Sus scrofa: one gene and its partners. The protein of the gene in region 1 interacts with the protein of each later gene in a biochemical or structural test. Links are inferred from orthologs where the notes say so. Each region holds a gene or a part of one and is shown in the gene's direction. Other genes may lie near its edges.

What was found.
Region 2: the proteins of RUFY1 (region 1) and RAB4A form a complex in vitro, tested with the Homo sapiens proteins (2 studies listed by BioGRID). The link is inferred for Sus scrofa from reciprocal best matches to the Homo sapiens genes RUFY1 and RAB4A.
Region 3: the proteins of RUFY1 (region 1) and RAB14 form a complex in vitro, tested with the Homo sapiens proteins (2 studies listed by BioGRID). The link is inferred for Sus scrofa from reciprocal best matches to the Homo sapiens genes RUFY1 and RAB14.

What each region holds. Positions count from the first base shown.
Region 1 is NC_010444.4:78,972,570-78,977,316, reverse strand, and holds the end of RUFY1 (RUN and FYVE domain-containing protein 1), read left to right. Parts: intron 1-622; coding exon 623-700; intron 701-2,291; coding exon 2,292-2,438; 3' UTR 2,439-2,956; downstream 2,957-4,747. UniProt on the Homo sapiens protein: Activating adapter involved in cargo sorting from early/recycling endosomes. Regulates retrieval of proteins from endosomes to the trans-Golgi network through interaction with the dynein-dynactin complex.
Region 2 is NC_010456.5:60,489,279-60,494,791, reverse strand, and holds part of RAB4A (ras-related protein Rab-4A), read left to right. Parts: intron 1-228; coding exon 229-291; intron 292-1,768; coding exon 1,769-1,923; intron 1,924-3,294; coding exon 3,295-3,390; intron 3,391-5,513. UniProt on the Homo sapiens protein: The small GTPases Rab are key regulators of intracellular membrane trafficking, from the formation of transport vesicles to their fusion with membranes.
Region 3 is NC_010443.5:261,229,432-261,234,095, reverse strand, and holds part of RAB14 (ras-related protein Rab-14), read left to right. Parts: intron 1-1,667; coding exon 1,668-1,755; intron 1,756-2,112; coding exon 2,113-2,143; intron 2,144-3,092; coding exon 3,093-3,270; 3' UTR 3,271-4,664.

The sequences.
Region 1 (4,747 bases):
CCTTGTGGATACATGACGGATTCATTTCTGCTGAGCCACAACAGGAACTCCTGAAGAAATCCTAATCTTATCTCTAAGTAAACCTCCAAAAGGCATCTTTCAAAGCCTCAGTTGCTTCCTCTGCAGAATGGAGACATCTGCCTCCCACAATGCTCCAAGGACCTGGGGCTCAGTGTGTGTGGAGGTCTTCCAGCCTCTCCAGCACGTTGCCTTCTGTCTCTTGGTAGGAACCCCTGTCACAGATTTCTTTCTCCTACCAGTTCAGGAGGCACTTTGGATAATGTCTCAGCCAAGGCTGGGATTGCAAGCACCAGATTGATTCTGGTTACCTCAGCCAAAAGGCATTTATTGAAAGGGGGTGGGTGAGTCTCAGGTTAACAGAATGCAGGAGAATCTGGCTTGAGGCCCAGGGGGCAACCTGCGGAGACCAGGACAGGCAGTCTGCAGCATGTGCGATCCAGAGGGAAGCAGTCCTGTGTGCCCCCTCTAGTGGAGAAGAGGCAGTCCCTAAGAAGGAAACCAGGTGCAATTAGGGACAGCAGATGCTGGGCTGAAGAGTAACTAAAAATTCTTTAGGAACCAAGCCGTAAACTGAGATTCTGTGGTGTTCTTGCCTCCTCAGGGCCACACCTGGTTGAAAGATGATGAAGCAACACACTGTAAGCAGTGTGAAAAGGAGTTCTCCATTTCCCGGAGAAAGGTATGTGGGGTAGTCCTCCACCTGCTTACCCTGTCTGGGCTTCCATTCCTCTGGTTCTGGAGGAGGCCTGTGGGACTAGGCCCCCACATTGTGATCATGCTCACTGGTCTGCTGGTCCATACAGATGACCCCCCAGCCAGTTTGTCACAGGCCTTGTCTCCACTACAGTCCTCGCAATGATTTTGGAGTGGGGGCTGCTTACATACAAACTTCTCTAGGTGTGTGCATCAAATGAGAATTCTTCATAAGCAAGAGGACCAAACTCTGGCCACATTAGGTAAAAACAGTCTATGGGGAACCTATAGGCAGCAGGTCTCAGGACATGCATCCAGGTGGCACCTAAAGCACAATGGCATCCTGGGCAGGGCACTGTCCCCCTATGAATCGGCCTCTGCCTGTGTAGCCTGCCTTCAGGGTCTGGGATCATAAGGTCCTGGGCCCAGCCTTTGGTCCAGTTGACAGGGCCTTGATTGACCAGTATGGGCAGGACAGGGGCAGGATATAGACCCCACAAAAAATAGCCTGGAGTTCCCGTTGTGGCACAGCGGAGGCGAATCCAACTAGGAACTATGAGGTTGCGGGTCCAATCCCTGGCCTCACTCAGTGGGTTGATCCGGCATTGCCGTGAACTGTGGTGTAGGTCACAGACGCAGCTTGGATCTGGTGTTGCTGTGGCTGTGGCATAGGCCGGCAGCAACAGCTCTGATTCGACCCCTAGCCTGGGAACCTCCATATGCAGCCAGTGGGACAAAACAAACAGCCTTTGCTAAAAAAAATGCCTGCCACTACCATGTGGATGCCTGTCCTCATCCGCCCCATTAACAGCCTCCCTGTGGAAGAGAGGGAACAAAACTCCCAAATCCCTGTCAGGGCCTTAGAGTAGGTTCAGAGCTAGAAAACAACCCTCCTGAGGCTGCCTTTGAGATCACGCTTGTCCACAAGGCCTGGCTATCCCACACCTGGGTGGTCCAGTTCAAGTCCACTGTCTATCCTGATTGGGGGGATGGGAGGCAGAACCTGGAGGAGTAGGGACCACAAGGGTACTTGTCCAGGCATCTGCCATGTGCCCAAGACTCCCCTCTCAGGAGGGGCTTAGCTAAATAAACCTTGGGTCACCACCATGGAAAGCAATTACAGGGGATATACCAGGCAGGCTTTAAGTAGCACAGACTACCAACTCATGGACGGAGTTGTCAAGTCCAGTTAAACAATTTAAAGAAAAAGAACTGTAGGGAGTTCCCTAGTGATGCAGCAGGTTTAAGGATCCAGCGTTGTCACTGCAGTGGCATGGGTCCAGTCCCTGACCTGGGAACTTCCATATGCCACAGCCATGCCCCCCCCACCACAAGAGGGAAAAAGAACCTTACTCTTAGCACTGTATACCTCTCCGCCAACATTCCATGGATTAATTCACAGGAACATAAACATAGAAACAAGAGGTCTACAAGAACCCCTTCCAAATGGCTAAGTTCCTCTGGGGAGGGATTTTAAAGCATTAAATGGACTTTTAAAGGTTGGTAAAAATAAAAGAGTGGGCTTTGCAGACCCAGGGAGCTCAGCATTTTGTGACTGCCTCTCTTCCATCCTCTAGCACCACTGCCGAAACTGTGGCCACATCTTCTGCAACACATGTTCCAGTAATGAGCTGGCCCTGCCCTCCTATCCCAAGCCAGTGCGTGTGTGTGACAGCTGCCACACCCTGCTCCTTCAACGTTGCTCCTCCTCCACAGGCTCCTAAGGTGGGGGCATCAGCAGGGCCTGCTTTCTGAACCAGTTGCAACGTTTTCAGCGGCGTAGGCAGCCCCACAACAGTGCCAAACTCTTTGGGTCTCCAGGTGGCTAGGGGCTTGGGAGGTTGGTTTCCCAAGAGAATTAAAGGATGAGCTCCTCACCTGGGCTGCCGACACTTGGGAACAAAGCACACGGGACTGGAAGCTGCACACCTCCCTTTCCAAATTGTATGGAATCAGTTCCTCTGGATTGAAACTTTTCTCACTCGCCATCTCTGGCTTTGGTTCAAATAGAACTTCATGATTTTGCTGTTGTCACCTTTCACTTTCCAATTAACCTGTTTTTGCAGCAGTCCCACTAGTGAAGTAATCATAATCAGTTCCTTCCTCTCCCCCATCCCTAACCCACCCCCCCAGTGTGTCCTCTCAAAAGTCAAGAAATCTGCCATTTCCACACTCTTGTGAATATCCATCATTAGCCCTGCAATAAATTCATTTATTTTTCACTCTGGTGCAGAAAAAGAAACATGTGTCAACTTCACTGGAGGATGCCCAGAGCAACCCACATTTCAGGACTAGAGGCCTCTGGTGAGAGCAGCTGCGTGTGAGGTGAAGTTAAGCCTGCTGGGTTCTGGGGTACAGACTGTGCTCTGCCCAGTTGAGCCATCAACAGGCATGGAGGAAGTACCTGTCACCAAAGCTCAAAAATAAGGAATTAATGTAGGTGATAACAGAGATACCTATAGGTATCAAAACGTCAGGGTCGTTTTGAATTTCACCAACAGGACAGGTGCTGTTATAGGCCATGGAAAACTGTTCAGAGCCTAGGAACAGAGGGCTGGAGCCCACCTGAGCCTATGCTCACCACCCCACCCGAGGTAATGGCCTTGAATGCCCAGATCGCAGACTATACTAAGTACTATAAAATGTAGTCAGACAAGTCAGTCCACCCATCTGTGGGGCCTCAGCCTATTCCACCCTCAGTGAACTAGCTCACACCTTGCTCACTGCCCATCTGTACCTCCCACAAGTTCTCTAGCCTGGTCTTTGAGGCCCTAGCTCTCTTCCTTTAGGGGCTGTCCCAGCAGGCTTACCCACAGCCTGGAAACATGGAAGTGGACCTTCCATGTTAGATCCCAGTGATCTGTGTGTACAGCACCAAAGCTGCAGATTTTCAAGCCCTTTTAGGGAGGCACATGGGCTGCAGAAGGGGCCTCCCTCCTTCTAATTTAATCTGAGCAGTTTTTTGGCACCCCATTCAGGGGCCAGCTTTTCTTAAAGTTTACATACCACTGCACTACCCTAACTGGTCTAGCATTAGATATCTGTACCTTGTTTTCAATGCACCCACTTTGGACTCCAGCTTGCTGGGAAGCCTTAGGCAAGTCACTTCACTTCTGAGCCTTAGCTCTCATCTGCACACATAAAAAAGCAAGATAATACCTCCTTACTCCAAGACTGTTCTGACAGCTCTGCCACTGCCAAGCAAAGTGCTATTTTCTTTTTCCAACCTGACCCCGCCACACACACACCCATGGCCCAATCATACTAAAAGATGTTGGGCGACGAGCACTCACAAAGGATCCTTCTGCCAATAGTTAGCTATGTGGAAGACAGTTTTTCTAAGACCTAGAATAGGTACCTGAACTTTGGAACCGTCATTTTCTGGTTTAGCAAACTCCCCCCACCTAAGCAATGAGGGACAGATGGTCCAAGGTGGTACTTCGCCAGCTTAAATGCCAGGGTTGGTTGGCAGGGGTGGGTGTCTTGTTAAAATGAGACTATGTCTGGAGGTTCTGGTCATTCCTAAGAAGCCCCCAGGAGATGCTGATCCAGAGAAGGTTCCAAAGAAAGTTTCTAGTTCTAGTCCCTTTTCCTCCTCCAACAAGCCATGTTTTTCAACAAAGATGTTCCTTATGAGAAACTGAAGGACCCAGGGAAGGAACCCTCCTAATACCCCAGACATAGAACAATTCAGTAAAGATCTCAGGGGTTATTACTAGGTTTAAAACATAGCTGAACACCAACGCTCAACAGTGCCTCCGAGGTTATCTCTAAACCTGCGGAAGACAAGCACATATGTTCCAAGTACACTTCAGTATCACCAACTAAAAATGTGCACCCAGCCTTCAGAGAGCATGCAGCAAAGTAGGGTCTGTAGAGTCTGTAGGACCCTTCATGCACATCTTCATGCAATACTGCCACATGCCTAAAAAAAGGCTATGGTCCTCCAACTTTTCAGAGTACACATCCTATTAACCTCACCCAGGACAAGAGAAAATCTTCAGCAGTTACAGTAAGTAAAAATGTACATAAC
Region 2 (5,513 bases), on another chromosome or scaffold:
GTCAGAGAGTACCACCTTGGTCCCAGCCTGACAGCCCCACCCCCTGCCCTCCTAGGACACAATTGTAGATAGAATAGCTCCTCAGGTTCAAATGACTTGGCGTCATTTCTCTTTAAAGTTATATCTGTCCATCTATGGAGGTCTTCAAGGCAAAAACTGGTGTGGGAAGATGGTCCTCAGGATTAAAGGCTCTGATCGGTTGAAAGTAAAATAATGTATCTCTTCCAGGTCTGTGACGCGAAGCTACTATAGAGGTGCAGCAGGGGCGCTCCTGGTCTATGACATTACCAGGTAATGACACCCTCGCCCACCCCACCCCACCCCTGCTGGTGGAAGAGGCCATCTCTCTGCTCTCCCAGGTCCATGCCTCCCTGTGGGCTGCGCCATAAACATCAGCCCCCAGCAGCATGGCCCGCAGGCAGGAAGCCCCTCAGCCCTTTCCACAGGGGTCTTGGAGGTTTTTGAACCAGCCCCTCCACTGCTTTAGCTCGTAAAAAAGTACACAGCTTAGATAGATTAAGCATCCCCATGTTTCACTAAGTTTCTGCATGATGTTCTGGCACTTTGCTTAGGGTTTGCAAAATGAAGCTTTGTCTGTGGTAAATTGTTAGAAGTAATTGGCGTCCGCCAAGCACAGGCTCTCAGCTTGATTGCCTGAGTTCAAATCCCAGTCAGTCACTAGCTATGTGAGTCCTCAGGTGAGGGGCTTTGGTTGTCAGGACTTTAGTTTCCTTGTCTGTTTTAAGGCGTAAGGAGGGCCGTACAGCACTCATGAGCTTTTTGGGCGGTTAGATTGGTTAATAGAAAGCTCTTGGCACATCATAAGGATCTGAGTGCACTGTCCTGTGTGTAGCTATCACCCGGGTATCTCAATTAAGTTTAATTAATTAAATATTCAGTTCCTTGGTCTCACTCTCCCATTTCAAGTGCTCAGAAGTGCTATGTTGAACAGTGCAGGTGGTAGAACTTCCTGTCTTAAAGAAATGCCATCAGATGGTGCTGACCTCAGTGTTTGCCAGCACCACCTATAAACATGTCATCTGAGAGAGTATCACCCTGCTGCTGTGACACACACCCAACCTAGGTCCAGAACAAGGGGCTCTGGCAAAGAGGTGGGCAGCTCCTTGCCAGGCTCTCTGCATCTGCCTGGATGGCAAAGGTTCAGTTTGCTAAAGTGAAGCCACCAGGCACAAAGTGGGCCAGGGGAGGAAATCTGTCCTTAGATATGTGAGGGCTGCAGACAGTTCTGCAGGTGATGGACCTGGTCAGGTCCTGGCTTGACCAATGGCTGCTCGTGTCTCTGGGCTCAGGTTTCTTCTGGAGGAGGAAGATAATAAGAGTCAATGTCATGGAGTCTTCACAGAGAGTCAGTGTGATAAACCCTGTGAAACAAAGCAAAGTATGTTGCAGGGTCCTTGCATGGCAGCAGTTAGCTTAGGTCTTGATCACCCTGTTGTGCATAAAAGCTCAACTACTGTAAAATGAACAAGGGAACTTCTGTTTCCTTTTGCACCCTGATTGGGAAGACCACAAACAGCAAGCTCTCTGACTTGCTGCTCATTTTCCTGGAAACAAAATGAAACACACCCTGTGGCCATGGTGTCTGTGGCTATAGCGTGCACTGGGGCATTCAGGTTACCTCAGTTACCTGTAAGGTTGGTGGTGTTGCCCTTCATGTGTAGAAGTGGTGTGAGTGGTGTGAATGACTGGAAAGAGTTGCTAGCTTTATAAAATACATGTGCTATTTTCACAATCTTATATTACGCAGCCGAGAAACCTACAATGCGCTTACTAATTGGTTAACAGATGCCAGAATGCTAGCGAGTCAGAACATTGTGATCATCCTCTGTGGGAACAAGAAGGACCTGGACGCTGATCGTGAAGTCACTTTCTTAGAAGCCTCCAGATTTGCTCAAGAAAACGGCAAGTGACCTTTTACACATCTATTGGAGTTTTAAGATTGAACCATATTTAGGAAATGCGAAACTTCCTTATAAACCTAAACCTATTTGGCATATTTTTGTCGTGTTACATTCTGCCTACAAAGTTACTGTAATGCTAAAAGTACATTTCGTAGTATTCTGTGATGACATTTCAGTCGAGGATTTTTGAGTATTATAGCTCTTGGTTTAAATGAAATTTGTAACAATAATTTCTAAAACCCCTAATCAGATGATGTCATCTTTTTTTTTAAATGTAACTTGAAGCTAAGTTGGTTACTAAATAGAGAGAGAAGCAATAGAAGAAATACTGGACTTAATTGGCTTTATTTTACTTACAGTAAATTTAAGTCATTTGGCTGTAGATGCTTTTGAAACTTCTCTAAATTTCCATATAGAATACCTGAGGATAACACATAAAATGAATGGTTGCTTAGAGACAGCAGAATGATAAGGAATCAGATGTTTTTAAATAACTTTAATTTTTAGAACTAAAATATCCTGATATCAATTTTCATATGGACTCTAGGACTGCCAAATTATACTGTTGCAAATTAACAAGTTTTCTGCTGAGAAAATAAACATGCACTGAAAACATAAGCCGTGTTGAGTTTATAAAGAAGCTGTTAAGAAGTATGCAAGCTTAGAATGTTAGAGCTTCAAAGGAATTTATTTGTTATTTAAATAAACCTCATTTTTGCAAGCAAGGAAGCCAGTGTCCGGAGAGGTTAGGGTTTGCTCAGGAGAGCGACTTTTCTGCTGGGTGAGATACCAGCTGGTGGATAAGAAGAGCACTCCTTGGAGTTCCCTGGTGGCTCAGCAAGTTAAAGGCCCAGTCTTGTCAGTGCTGTGGTGTGAGTTCCATCCCTGGCCCTGGAACTTCCACATGTCATGGGTGTGGAGGGGGTGGGGGAAGAAGAGCCCACCTTCATACAGGATCCCTTCACTGTCAGGATGGCATACTGCCCGCCCTGTAATCCCCCCCAGGATTGCAGGTTGCGTTTGTGGTCACATAAAGGCTATTGGAAAGGAAATGGCTCCTTTGTCTTATATCAACAGCTGGGCAGTATCAGCCAGCCCACTTCCTTAACCAGCCTCTAGCTAGCTTAGTTTATTTGATTTAAATGCTAGAACAAAATACTAGTTACTTTTCATCAAAAGTTAGAACTCTTCTAATATTTAAAAAAAGTATCTTGACACATATTAATTTTATATTTGCAGAAATACATGGTTTTAAGTAATAAATTACATTTTGCCTGCCATTCTAAGAGAATATTAAACAGGCAGTTATTAATTGAATAATTGCAATTGTCTTCTAAACATGGCTTCGTGTTTTGTTTGATGTCAATTTTAGAGCTGATGTTTTTGGAAACAAGTGCACTAACAGGGGAGAACGTAGAAGAGGCCTTTGTACAGTGTGCAAGAAAAATACTTAACAAAATTGAATCAGGTAAAAAAGGCTTTCCGTTAATAAACTTTTCTTTAGCATATTTTACTCTTTGCCTCAACAGTATCACTTTTCAGTATTTCCAGGAGTGATTTGGTCAAGGGTATTTATTCTCTCTACACCTGCCGACCTTCAGCTGCCACTTGTGGGTTCAAAGGTCTTGTGCACCACCCCTCTTGCCCAGTGGTTTTTTTTGCCCCACTGATGAAAGAGACAAGGGTCAGGGTGTCAGCTGGTGTTTGCTTTTTCGAACCACAGCCTTTTTTGACCCATCATTTAAGGAAGAATGGACCTTTGTCCATCCCTATCAACAGCTTGCTCACTCTGCTGGGCCCGTGGTTTGGGTATCGTGAAGAGTTTATTTCTGAAGCTAACTGAGCAGGTCTCAGTAATCACCTGTCTCATTACTGTTCTATTTGTTGCTTCAGTAAAAATAAATTTTAAATAACCTTAATGTAAGCAGCTGACAAAATAACATGCAGTTAATCATTTATTGAAGTTAATTTTTATTTAAATGTCACCAAAGTTATATGTGGACTTCAGTTTTTCATTGAGTCATTCAACTACCTGTGCCTATTCTTTGTCAGGAGCTGAGACACCAAAGTAAATTAATCACAACCCTTGCCCTCAAGAAACTGTCATGGGAAACAGTCAAAAAATAATTATAATGCAGTGTGGTCGATACAGTACTTGAGACAAGCATGGGATCTGGGCCACAACAAGAAGGGAAACCCACCTATTCAGGAAGTGCTATCAGGAAAGGCTTCCAGGAGGAGTTGGTGACTGAGCTCAGGCTTTTCAGATGTGAGGAGGAAGAGTGAGCAAGGGAGTGAGAAGGAGGGTAGGCTGGCAGAGGGACAGCATGAGTTGAGAATGGGGGGAAGCTAGAGTTACTGGAACAGAAGGACTTCAGCAGGGAATGGCAGGAGACGATGCAGAGGAGAAGCAGCATCCAGGCCAGTCATTGTGGTCTAAGATCTGGAACTTTACCTTGTTACTAAGTCTTCACTGGCTGTGCACCAGAGTCACCTGGGATGCAGGCAGATTTGGATTCCAGGCCCTGCTTCTGGAGATGTGGAAATAAGGCCTAGGCATCCACTCTTTCATGTGATTAATTCTGATATTCATCTGAGATTGAGAACCACTGCTGTGGGGGTGAGAAGCCCTTTGGGGTGGTGAGCAGTGAGTGATATGGTCAGGTTGTGACTGGGGACAGATCACATGTGTAGGTAGCCTTGTCAAGGATAGACTGGAGGGATCACAGGGCTGAAGGCCAGGATGCCAGTTAAAGCATTTTTGAGTGATCCCAAAAAGGTGACTGATTAAAGCTATAAACAGGGATGTGGAAGCAGAGATGAAGAGATACAGATGAATCTAAGAACTATTTGGCGGTGGCACCAGGATTCAGATGCTAAATATCAGTGGTGACAACTCTGAAGAAGTGTGATCATCCAGAGAGCAGTGGGAAGAGCAGTGACCCGGAGCAAAACCCTGGAGACCCTAAAGGATAGAGAGGAGGGGAGATGTTAGAGATGTGTGAAGAGAGCCAGATGTGTCACTCCAGCCCCAATTCCACCAAAGGATCATTCATTATCAGATACAGTAGAGGAAGTCTTATAAGCTGAGACCTAAGCTTAAAAATATCCCAGGGGCTGGGCAGTAGGAAATCTTTGGTCATCTTTACCAGCAGAATGACAAAGGCAGAAGACAGGATACAAAGAGGAAGCAGAGACTGGATGCCTCCCTGGAGGAGGCGGCGGAACGCTAATTTAATAGGAGAGGTGTCAGGAACAAAAGAGATTTAACACCTTTAAATGCTGAGAGAGAAGAGAGTAAGGTAGAAGAGAGAAGGAAGGAGGGGAGCTGACCAAAATGGGTCAGGGGGAGGGGAGCAGACAAGGCAGAGTGTCGGGGCTCAAACAAAGGGCTGGCTTCACTTCAACTGTCTGTGGTCTTTAGATCTGAAAACAGGAACAAAAAATTTACTCAACTTGGTACAAAACAGTTATTTTTAAAGACTCAGTAGTATAAATAGTTAGCATTAAAAAACTGGCATAGTGTTGAGGTAAGCTCATATTAAACATGAAGTTTTATGTAAATTACCTTCCCACTTTAATATTGCCTAT
Region 3 (4,664 bases), on another chromosome or scaffold:
TGACGTTGGGAAGCATGAATTAGGAGAGCAAGCAGTGTTTCCATTAAGCAGACAGTTCTTGTTTTGTTTTGCATTTGCCTGCCCCATGGCACATGGAACTCCGGGGCCAGGGATCAGATCTGAGCCACAGCTGCGAACTAAGCTACTGCTGTGGCAACTCTGGATCCTTGACCCACTGTGCTGGACCAGGAACTGAAGCTGTGTTCCAGTGCTCCCAAGACGCTGCCCATCCTGTTGGCCACAGCAGGAGCTCCAAAGCAAACATTTTTTGTTTTGAGTACCTGTCTTATAATGGCCCTTTACTACTGAGCCATTGTGACTTCACCACCTTTAACTTTTAAAAAACTTGATTTCCTTTTTAAAGTTTCATTACCTAATTCTTTAAAGACTAGTGGACTGTATGTGAAAACTTCTTTCCCTTCTCAATGGGTACTTGTCCATACTGATTGAAGATGGCTCACTTTTGTTGTACTACGGAACTGTCCTTGCTCAAGGTTTACATTCTGGTCAGAATGGTTCATTGGACACCAGTTTTTGAAAGTAAAAAGCTAGGGACTGTAATTTCACATGAAACGAAGTTAATGGTGGAAGCCCTTTTAGTTGAAACCATGCATTTCTAAAGTATCTTTATCTGGATTACCACATCTGTTCAGGGGAGAAAGGGGGTCGGGTGGGTTTGCCAGTTGGTGTCAAAAAATATATAGGCAGAATTAATTTATCCCCTGGCCTGTGCCAGTAAAGGCCAAAGCACTGCTACCCAAAGTTGTACACTTTTTTCTTAGAACTTTTCAGAGCTGTCTTTAACTTTGGCCTAACTTCACATGTATAAATGATTCCAAAGTGGATGTGTGTGTAATATTTTGCCTTGAATTTGAAATCACCAAATATGTGTCTTCCAACCCCCACTGCCCCCCATCGTGGATACAGTCATTTGTTACCAGTTGCAACAAACTTAGCCCAGCCTTAGGGATAGTGTAAGGGGAGGACAGTATTTGAAGGTTACAGTTTAGGTTTTCTACCCGAGTTTTTTTTTTTTTTTTTTTTTACCATTGACAGGTCCTTCTTTTGAACATTAATTGCCTTACTTACAGGCTGAAGAAAGTGAACTAGTAGTTTTAAAACTTTCTAAGGGTCTCAGAAACTTGTGAAAATCTGATGAAAGTCACAAACCTTCTCTTTCAGAGAATGTCCTCATTTACAGCATTTTGTACTTAATTTCTTATAGATGCTCTGGAACTTGTCCATGGACCCTTCATAGTCTACTCAGATAAATCATAATCTTTGGCCCAGATCAGATGTATCTCAGGCACACAAAAACAAAACAGGGCTGTTTTTAAATGGCTTCAGAGCGGAGCATGGTTTTTATGTGTTTGTAGGGTTGTTAAAAAAAAAGGTTTAAGAAGTATATGCGAAGAGACCACAAACCTGAAATACATTTTGCTCTTTACAGAAAGTTTGTCTACTTCTGGTCTAAGTAATTGCCGAGATCCCTCTTCATACTAATACCTTCATGAATGCCTTCTGTAGTCCTGTCTGATGGTTAATTGCTAGTTCCTTTTTAGGCCCACATGTTTTTTCCTTCAAGATTTTTTGGATTTCAGAATTTTCATGTTTGATTTAAATGGTTGCGTTTGTTTTAAGATGTGTTTCTTTTGATCACAAACTAGGTAATAATTCTCATAGGAAATAAAGCAGATTTGGAGGCACAAAGAGATGTTACATATGAAGAAGCCAAACAGTTTGCTGAAGAAAATGGTGGGTTTCTTTTAAGACTTTTAATAATGGCTTTTTTAGGTCACACTTGGGAAAATTTCTAAGGATAAGTGGGATTTTGTCAATGCAGATTGACAATTTTTTAAAAATTCAAACTCAAATCTTAGGAATGAGCAAATAACAAAATATGTTTCTATTTGAGATTCATGTAGGGGGCAGTACAATTATTTAATGACAAATATAAAGAATCCCTCCATCTCAAACTTATATAGTCTTTCATAAAATACTGTGGTAGGAGTACTGAAAACTGATGGGAAACTGATTCAGATATTACTCAGGATGTTACTGTCCTTGTGAGTTAATTTGAAATGTCTTTCATAGTCTGAATTTTGTTTTTAGGCTTATTGTTCCTTGAAGCAAGTGCAAAAACGTAAGTATGGCTAAAGTTAGATCATTTTTAATTATATTCAGATTTCTCAAAGTAGGACCATATGTATATAGTGTATATACATATAATATATAAATATGTAATGCTTTATGGCAGGAAAAACAGCAAACATCCCTTTGCTTCCTGTTTCACATTTAAAAATAATAATTTCACGTTACTTTCCCTAAAATAATATACCTTGACTATGCTCATTGGTAATCCAGGTTAATAAATGAAATTAACATTTCAAAAGTGTTTTGACTTTCATAGCCGAGGTTGAATTTGGTATCCCGGACTCAAGGTTTTTCAACCTGTTCATTTAATACTTTTGATCACAGTGAAAAGCACAACTTAATGTCTAAGAATAATTAGAAGCATACTTTCTAGTTGTTTTATGTCCATTATTGAGCCCCAAGATTCTATCATAGTTCTCTATTAAGCCCCAAATTCCCTGCAGTGGTGAGAAGCTAGCCCCCTTTTATTAAGCCTAATCTATACCTGTTAGTCCTAAGAGAACTGAACTGGAGTGTGAACATGGCTAAGCATGCTAAGAACGGTACAGTTGGTGCTTGGCTAATCAGACCCTACAAATCCTAAAATACTTTTCTGCATACATTTGGAGATAATATCATTTCTCTTTAGAACAGCTTCTTTTATTCAAGAAATGGCCTATCTTAATTCTTGTTACACATTTATACATAGCATTTTAATGATTTAGAACACACAGAATTTGTAGAAACAGCTGTTAGTATTGTGCTTATATGCTTTCCATGGAAAATATTTTCCCATGTTATTCTCTTAGCTCAGTCTTGTGGTAATCCCTTATTAGATGACAGTGGCTAAGTTGAAGACACCATGGTAGTTGACTAAAGGTTAGCAGAGGTCATTGTATAAAGTCTCATCTTTCATTGAAAGCTATGTTCCACCAGTAAAGGTGTCGATTGCCTCTTAGGGGAGAGAACGTAGAAGATGCTTTCCTTGAGGCTGCCAAGAAAATCTATCAGAACATTCAGGATGGAAGCTTGGATCTGAATGCTGCCGAGTCTGGTGTACAACACAAACCTTCAGCCCCACAAGGAGGCCGGCTAACCAGTGAACCCCAACCCCAGAGAGAAGGCTGTGGTTGCTAGTGACCTCTTTGCCGTGGCTCTCATTTGACCTTTCACCTCTGTCTGTTGGAAGCAGTACTTTTTACTGCCTCATTGTCTTCTGTACATCTTACTGGGTTTAATTAAAAAGAAAAAAACAACTCTGTTGTAAAAAACAGTTTAACACGATACTAAACTGCTAAACAACTAGATGTAATCAGGTTATCAAAGGCAAGTAGAGTAATAAATCTCTCCTGCATGGTAAATCTAGACTTTTTTTCCCCCTTGATTGTCCTCGTGATAGGTATGTCACCAATACATGATTTAAACTGAGCACTGATGCCGGACTTGATTTTTACCCCTTCCTCTTTTTGGCAAGGCTTTGTCTCATTGTACGGTTTAATTTGATGATGTCTTAAGCCTTTCTTCCCATCTTTAGCTGTTCAAGTATGTCTGTTGTAACCCGTAAGTTTATTGCTGTGAAATGACTTCTGATGATAGAGAAGGGGTTCTTATAACACCTTTTGTTTTTGTTTTTGTTGGATAAATTCCCTGTTGTGTGGGTGGCATTTTTCTTGAGGAGGTTTGCTTCTGTCTTAGCCTTGCACGGGGAAAATATCCATTTATCTTTTCTCTTGTGTTTAATTAATAGCTTTATCTTTTTTTTTTTACACCATTTTATCTTTTCCTCTTTAGCAGAAAGTAAATATGTATAAAATTTGAAGGAACCGAACTAACAATACATTCTGTGTATATTATTTTAATGAAGAAAATAAATTGATTACTGGCATTGGAACAGTATAAAATACCAGTTTGTACAGTATGACCTGTATGTGACCATGTTTCTCCCTTTCATTTCATATAAGGAAATAGACACAACTGCAGTTCACACAATATACTGGCTCCACCCTTTGGTGCTGGCAGTGTTTGGGGACATTATGCTGGAAAGAGCTCCTGGCGTGAGAGGATTAACACTAGCAGATTCTGTTCCATCTTTGCACTGTGGCTTACCTGCTGATTTTCTTAACTGTTCTTGTGCAATCAACAATGTGCTAACCTGCTTTTCTCTTTTTGTAAACGTTTTGCATTACAGGCTGCATTTCTTGCCTTACTGTATAGAAAAAGAAAAAAGGCTGGGTTTATTATTGCACATTTTAAGCTTTTATACCTTTATCTTCCTTGGAATGGTGAGATTCTGAACCAGACAGCCAGAACCGCAGGTCTGCTGTTAAGGGATTTTAAATTGTGCATTTTTTAATACTACAGTGAAATAACTTAAGAGATCCCTTGTGTTCTTAGTATGAGGGGCTATTTTTTGTCATGTTGGCATAAATTGTTTTGTAAAAGGGAAAGTGTTTCTAACGGTGTTTCAATGTTTGTGCTGATATAAAGTAAGTTATTACTTTACACTTCGGTGGTTTGGCCACTGACAGAAT